Linked DNA regions of Oryzias latipes. The protein of the gene in region 2 purifies or fractionates together with the protein of the main gene of each other region. This does not show direct contact. Links are inferred from orthologs where the notes say so. Each region holds a gene or a part of one and is shown on either strand. Other genes may lie near its edges.

The links.
Region 1: the proteins of RNA-binding protein MEX3B (region 2) and AP-1 complex subunit beta-1 purify together in Homo sapiens (affinity purification with mass spectrometry; 4 studies listed by BioGRID and IntAct, with this or other methods). This does not show direct contact. The link is inferred for Oryzias latipes from reciprocal best matches to the Homo sapiens genes MEX3C and AP2B1.

What each region holds. Positions count from the first base shown.
Region 1 is NC_019872.2:25,038,724-25,042,380, forward strand, and holds part of AP-1 complex subunit beta-1, read left to right. Parts: coding exon 1-41; intron 42-1,987; coding exon 1,988-2,072; intron 2,073-2,303; coding exon 2,304-2,390; intron 2,391-2,923; coding exon 2,924-3,078; intron 3,079-3,657. UniProt on the Homo sapiens protein: Component of the adaptor protein complex 2 (AP-2). Adaptor protein complexes function in protein transport via transport vesicles in different membrane traffic pathways.
Region 2 is NC_019867.2:10,558,430-10,562,780, forward strand, and holds the start of RNA-binding protein MEX3B, read left to right. Parts: upstream 1-1,458; 5' UTR 1,459-2,058; coding exon 2,059-2,701; intron 2,702-4,351. UniProt on the Homo sapiens protein: E3 ubiquitin ligase responsible for the post-transcriptional regulation of common HLA-A allotypes. Binds to the 3' UTR of HLA-A2 mRNA, and regulates its levels by promoting mRNA decay.

The DNA of each region.
Region 1 (3,657 bases), on a different chromosome or scaffold from region 2:
TCGGACCGGTCATGAAGATGGATCCTTTGAATAATTTGCAGGTACAGGAGCCGTTTTACCACCCATGTTAACTGGAATAAGGTACATTGGAAAGCATTCTGCTATTTCTTTGTTGCTTGAGAGTACATTTTGATTGGAACAGCTTAATATTATTTTGTCATTTTAAAGAAAAATGCATCATGTAACATTTTGAATATCGGTATAATTACATCTCTTTGATCAAAATGCGTTTTTAGACATTTTTAACAAATTGGTTCTCGAGGTTTCAGAATTTGCAGCCTTTCATGTACTAAATGTGATTGTAAGGTTCTAAAAGAAATGTATATAGTAATATAATACAAACAGAATTAAATCAATCAAACCATATAAGGCAGTGTTTTTCAACCAGTGTGCCGCGGCACACTGGTTGAAAAACTAGTGTTTTTCAACCAGTGTGCCGCGGGAGATGGTCAAGTGTGCCGTGGGAAATTACCCTCATTAATCATTCACTGATCTAAAAACATTTTCCATCTCCAGGAAATCAGCTCTTTGTTCATCCAAACAGGCCCTGATAAAACACTTGAGTAGTGAGGAATATAAAAGATCTTAAAATTACTTTTTATTTGTGTTTATTTGATTCTATTAAAGACATTTTGATAAGAATGACGGTATTTACCTGCAGCTATAGCGGTTTGCGGGAAAGTCCCGCCCCTTTACCTGTCTCCGCCAATCATTGTTGAAGGCTTAATCACATGTCAGCAGTCTGACCAATCAGAAGTGGTTAAAGTCTTCACTTCCTTGTTCTTAATTCTGCTCATAAATTCTCTCAGTTCCAACAAAAATACCAGCTAAAGCTCGTCTTTAGCGGTGTAGCTTTCCACAGAGTCCGGTGTCAGACCGTGAACAAAACAATGAAGCTCACAGACGCGAGTCTTTCTGCCCTTTTTCGGCAGTTTTCACACTACATCTCCCATGATGCATTGGCTTAAAGGGCCAGTGTCCCAGCGCATAATGAGTGCGCGTGAAATGTCTAGAAACCTCAACGGACAAACAAACAGTTTCTAAATTTTCTAATTTAACTTTTATTTCATCTCTTAGAAAAAACAGCCGCAACTTCCTGCTTTTTTGGCCACAATTATCACAAAATGCACGTGAGATTGCGGGGGGGGGACTGTCGATCAATAGAGACCATGAATTTCTGCTTATTTATTATTTTTTTTGGATGCTGGTGTGCCGCGGGATTTTTGTCAAGGTTAAAGTGTGCCGTGGGTCAAAAAAGGTTGAAAAACACTGATATAAGGTCACAAAAAAGAAAACAACGCATTTAATTTTGCTTACTTTTATCAAACACAATGACAATATCAGGACTTTGAAAAATTCTGATCTAGTAATATTCAGTTTGATGCTGTTTCTTTTCTAAAACTGCTCATGTTAAATTTTTTTTAGTCTCTTTATAGATTTTTATGTAATGAGCCAAAATAATCCAGACTAAGGTTTTAATAACTGTAGGAGCCAACATGTACGTAGTTTCTTTGCACTTTTTTTTGTTTACTTTACAGATTTGTATATTTCACCTTTTTTAACTATTTATTAGTGAAAAGTTTAATAAGCACCGGCTCACCTGCACTCGGGATTGAGTTGAAGCTTGGGCTGTTTATTTTTGTTGACTGCTATTTTTTGCTATGTTTGTTGGTAACCTTGGCTTTGCAGTCACCTTTTCCTGCCCTTTGTTAACCAGGTTCATCAACTTACACAAAGTAAGCTTATTAATTGCTTCCACTGTTTTTGCAAAAAAAAAAAAAAAAAAAAACCTGTTAAAACTACATAATGGACCGTAAACAGAGGGAACCCATTTGCTCCTCAGGAGGCACCTCAAACTTTTCTAATGTTCAGATGTTTTGGAAAAGCGAAATTCATATTTTAGTTTTAGTTGAAGGAACGTTGTCGCCTTAAACTCTGTTTTTGTCTGAGCTACTTTCTCATTTGTCTTGTGTTGGTTTTTGCGCAGGTGGCTGTGAAGAATAGCATTGATGTGTTTTACTTCAGCGTTCTCATCCCTCTCAACATATTCTTTGTTGAGGATGGAAAAATGGGTACGAATGTTGTGCATTTCTAAAAATATTTTACATCAGAAAATCTGTGCTAAAGACCATTTCCAGGAATATTTTCACAAATCTATTCTCTTTAGGTTTATTGTTAAGGATTTTTAAAGTATTTTTTCAATGGAATGAATAGGTTTTTATTCTATTATATTCACACATATATTTGTTTCATTTAACAAAGCATCCAGTAGGTTTTATGTGACTCTCTTTAACCGTCTTCAGAGCGACAGGTGTTCTTGGCAACATGGAAAGACATCCCCAATGAAAATGAGCTGCAGTATCAGATAAAGGACTGTCACTTAAATGCAGGTAGGTGACACTATAAAACACATTTTTAGATTTTTGTTTTTCTTCTAACATTAGATAACTTTGCAGATCTGCTTTATTTTATTGTAAATATTTACCGCAGAGATCAAGCGGGCAACAGTTTCTTTCCTTGATCCAAAATATTTTCACATATTCTTCCTCATTGTCAAATATTTCACATGCGATGCATCTCCATCTCACACTTTTCTTTGTTTTCTTTTTCACCTGCATGCCTGTCTTTGGATTTCGGTTCTTTTTATCTATCCAGCCTTTTTCTTCTTAGAAGCCCCCCATTAATGTGTCTCTGTTATCCTGGATGGCAGTCATCCATAGTGGTTTGTTACTTGAGTAGTCAGATAACCTAAAACTCTTAAGGTGACCAGTCATATTTCACCTAAACTCTTTTAGAATAAACTCACTCTTTGTAGAAAACGTGCATTGCGTAGTGCATATGCTTGTGTTAGTACCTAAAGTGATTCATACTTTTTGTAATGGGATGGTTTCGTGATGTAAAGTGAACATTTTTTTTGTTTCAGACGCCGTATCAGGAAAGCTGCAGAATAACAACATCTACACTATTGCCAAAAGAAACGTTGAAGGTCAGGACATGCTTTACCAGTCCCTCAAGCTAACCAACGGCATCTGGATCTTAGCCGAGCTCCGGATTCAGCCGGGAAACCCCAATTACACGGTACAGTGTTGGGTAGTTTATGGGGAGTCTTGCTCAAATGTCATGCTTCCTTTTGTATTTGAATATTTATTTGAACATGTATTTATTCTGACGGAGACATTGTATATTAATGAACATCAAAAACAAACGTAAATGCAGTGTTTCCTTGTTTATTGCGGGTTATACATTCCATAATTAACCCACAATGGGTGTAATCCCCCCAAGTGGGATTACAGATGTTTTAAAACTCCTCACTAAACACTTTTTTCCAACAGACATGAACATTGTCATACTCTTCTCCCTTGTTTAAACTCTCAAAGTTCAAACCCTTTTAGAAAAATGAGACCAGTATTACTGAATAAGAACGAAGATCTTCTCAAACTTTTATGTACATTTGGCAACTTGCACACATTCTGTACAGGAGACATGGCACTGAGGAGATTGATTGACAACCGCCAATCAGAACGCAGAACACAGTGCACTGTAAAAAAAAAAGAAAGCATGCAAAGTTGCCTGAAAGACATTGCGAGACCACAAAACATGAACCACAATATAGTGAAAGACCAGAGTTTAGACACAGGCTAATTTCTTTCTGCAGTC
Region 2 (4,351 bases):
CCTATTGGCTGTCGCGTAGAGAAGGCCCGCCTTCTCCTCTCTACTATTGGTCAACACAACACAAAAGGCGAGGAGGAAACGCTTGTCAAATCACGTGGGCCACGTCTACAGAAAAGATTTGCCAATGAATGATCGTCCAACGTGGCTGGCTTTTTTTCACTTAACTTTATTAAATCGGAAAAACTTTACAAAATAAGGTAGGTGAAATCTTTTAGTATGTCTATGGGCGAAATGATGCCCGTTTAGGACAGAATCAGATTTAGTGATTACATTTGAAATGTATACCAACAATGTGTGCTTGAATCTATTCTTATCTTTTGATTAACTGTACAGATACTATTAAACTTAGCTATATAAGATAATAAAGAGCTACACTCAAAAAAGGCGATTTAAATAGAAAAAAATCCCTAGAATAAAAAAAGACCTACTTCCCTTAAACTAGTGGTGGATAATTATTTTGTTAGGTTTTTTCTCCGACTTAAAGCTTGTCCTTTTCTCATTGTGCTCTATGGTTGTTGGGTAACAAGCTGCCAGTTAAAAGGCTTGTGGATGAGCACTTTAAAACCAATTAAGGCAAAACCTGTTCTGCCCTTTAAATCAAACATAACAGCTTCCCTAATTGCTGTTCGATAAGCCCAAACACACAACGCTAGTAGCTGAGACTTGATCAGATTGGAATACTTCTCGGCCTTATAATTGTTTTTACATTCATCATTGGTTTGACATCTTTGGGTTGTGACCAGAAATGGATTCAGCGGGTTCTTAAGATGGATGGATGGATGGGTGATGTGGCTGTCAAACCACAAATAGGAGATTTTAGGCTTCATAGTAAAAAGAAATGGATGCAATTATTTTTGTTTGTTTGTCTGTTTTTCTTTTTTAATTAACAACAGGGTGCACACATTTATGTTTTATCATGTCTTGGGCTTTCTATAGTTACTACATTTCTTACATTTTGCCCCTCTTGCATCTCTTGTAACAGCATCTGTTTCAAATATAGTTAACACTGACAAAATAAACCAACAAAGACATGTTTTTACTTTCAAAAAACAACTGCATAATTTTTTAAGAAGATGCAAAATATATTCTAAATATTTGTTGTTATTTTATTGCATTTATTTGTCCTAAAGGATACCACTAAAAAAGCATTTGGATGTGCAGCTCCTGCTAACAGACATGTCACATCATGCATAAGTACCTGGGTTCATGCAGTATTCTCTATAGACTACACACTTCCAGATGCAGAATCGATTAATACAAAATTTATTTTATTCACATATAATTTAGCATAAATGCATACAAACATATAAAATTTTGTTGTGATAAAACAATATGAATAATACAAAAAAAGCATAAATAATGCACTGAAAACACAATCAAATCATTTTTAAAATAATTCTGAAATTATATAATTATTTATTCTAATCTTTATATTTTTAAAAACCCCAGAATATATATATATATATGAACATGTTTACCTAAACAATTAACTAAAAATGAAGGGGGTATAATAATTCCAAGTGTGTTTGATTGGTTTGCCAGGAACTAAGAATACACGTTTACAGTTCATAACAGAAATAAATACTTTTCTGATTTATCCAAGAGATTGGGACATAAAACTTTTAGGCTACTACAAGCACATTTTCAAGTCTGTTTTGCTGACTTTATGACACAAATTGCGAAGAAAAAGCATTGTTTTGAACAAGTGATCGACAGCAACAGTTTTGGATCTGTCAGCCATAAATTATTGTTCACATCGCTTTAACACACATTTGTAGGGGCGACAGAAAGAATGACAGTTTATTTCGTTCATTTACTATGACGTCTTCCCATCAGCTGTGGCGTCTCAGCGGAAATCTCGCGTGAAAAAGAGTGCGAGATTACAGGGCAAGGAGGGCTGCATGGGGAGCTGAGACAAAACAAAAGGCACACATTTAAACTGTCAGGCGCTGGTCGCTTTTTTGTGTTTCCTTTTTTAAATATTATTTTATCTTAGCATAATTATCACAATCAACCTGCTGTATCGTTATCGGTTTATCTGTAAAACTGGTTTGCATCATGCCCAGTAGCACGTCTTTGTTGGATGCCGATGAGGGAGAGTCCGAGGTCCCACCGCCGCTGGTGCATGCTTTGGCCGGTGTGGGCCTCGAGGATCTCCGCGACACCCAAAGCCAGACACAGGAACAAACAGACGAAAGTTTATCTTTTCAGCACCACCCGCTCCCCCAGGTTTCCCATTTTAGACTACTCGGCACGGTTCTGGACTTGAAACCCCTGTCGACGCATCGACCGCCCACGGGAGATCATCATGAAGTGAACAAAACGGCTGAAGACGAAGAGCCCGAAGTTGTTGCGACCGACTCCCTGGACTGCCCCGGTAGTTCGCTCCTACTGCAGGCCCACCGCCACCAACATCTCCCATCGGGACCAAGTAACTCAGCGATGCCTCCCGGAATGGAGCCGTCGCACATACTAGAGACCGTGTTGCTGTACAATGGAGACGAGCGGGATGACACCGGGATTGGCGGTGGCGCCCTGCCTTCTTCAGCTAACAGCATGGCGATGCTACCGGCTGGCGTGTACGGAGAAGCGAGTTTCGAGGCCGAGCCTTCGCTTTTGTCCCGGCGAAAAAGCGTCAACACCACGGAATGTGTGGCCGTACCGAGTTCCGAGCACGTCGCCGAGATTGTGGGCAGGCAGGGTGAGCGTTTTGTGTGTGTGTCTTTGTTTTGTTAGCCCCTTCTAAGTTCCGTTCATTGTGACCAAACCTCCACGAGGCATTAGCTGTAGAAGATGAGATGTTCACTAATGAGAAAATAACAAATTCGCCTTAAAATGTACCTCCTTTACAGTAAAATAATACGGTAAAACCGTCGATGTTAGCCTAAGCTGTTAGCTAAGCTTAGCACTTGAAAACTGGGTCAACACCACCCAGACTTTAGCTAGCCAAAAAGTTCACATCTTTCCATTTCAGTCGTTTTGACCACATTACTGCTGACTATCAGCTCGTTTTTATTCTTTACAGTGATTTTCGGTTACTTATCAAACTAAACTGTCTTTCCTTGCCTAAAAAACCCCGGCTGGGCTTTATCTCGTAGGACATAAAGAAGAGCAATGTTCCATTGCTTTGCCACATCAGCTGTATAGTTTTTTTTTTTTCTTCCCTCCACTGTCCTCATTAAAGACCATCGGGGGGATTTATGGGGTTTCTCGCACTCGTTTGTTTTTGCGAACACGATCCAATTAGATTTTTGACTTAAAGTTGTTGACTGTTAGGGTGAGGATGGTGTTATGTAGTCTTTTAAACCAGATGGGGGGAGGTGCGCCCGTTGGTGTTGACAACAACAGGAAATGGATCTTGGTAATGATGCTGGACTCTCAACCACTGCTCAAAATAATATTTAATTCATAAGATGAGGAACTTTTTAATGGTATTAGATTTTCGACATGGTGTGTGGGACGTTGACAATAAACAACTCTAGGTTTTCTATAATGGAAATGATGACATATGCTTGATGGGGAACAAATTAACCCAATGAAAACGTGAATTAACTATATTATTCTGCTTTGGAACGTTTTTATTTCTGTGGTCAATGAAGTTATTATGCAGCTGAGTGCTGATTCAAACAGAACCTAATAAAGAGAGCTTTCTTTGCAGCATTTCTGCTGGGGAATACAGGGCAGTCAACAGATCAAAAACCAATAGGGAGTAGCAATCTGTTCCTAGTATCCAACCAGATCAATCTGTGTGAGGCAAGATGTTAACCCTTGTGCTATCTAAGATGACCCCACCCTTGCATTGACGTGTTCTCCCTACCATGACAAAGGTGGATAAAGGTGGAAAGATTTCCTGTAATCCATGGACACCAGTGAAGAACACAAATCATTGAAGAAAAAAGGTTTAACGCACCGTCTAGTGGGTCTAGATGACCCAACTCCCAATGTTAAAGTGCCGAGGATAGCACAAGGGTTAATCAAGCTGACCTATACCGTTATAAAATTGTTTCAAAATGAAATGAATCAATTCTATCGATGGTGGAAAATACCAGTTGAATTTAGACCTTAATAGTATGATGTAAAAATGTGTCATCACAGCGGGCAAACACATGTGATGGCACCTAAAAAAAACAATCAGGCCGATCTGTGGAAACACTTTGAATTTTGCAAAGACATGTGACCATACAGTGTGGTAGAATGTTCTAATTGATGTGGAAAAAACAGTGGGCTGAACTAAATGTTAATGCATTTTCCATGAACCCTTGTTTACTAATCTAGAAAAGTTCACCTGTTCAAGACCAGGTGTTTATCTCTGAGTCACACTGGTTGAATTTATGACTAAAGATGTCCTGGA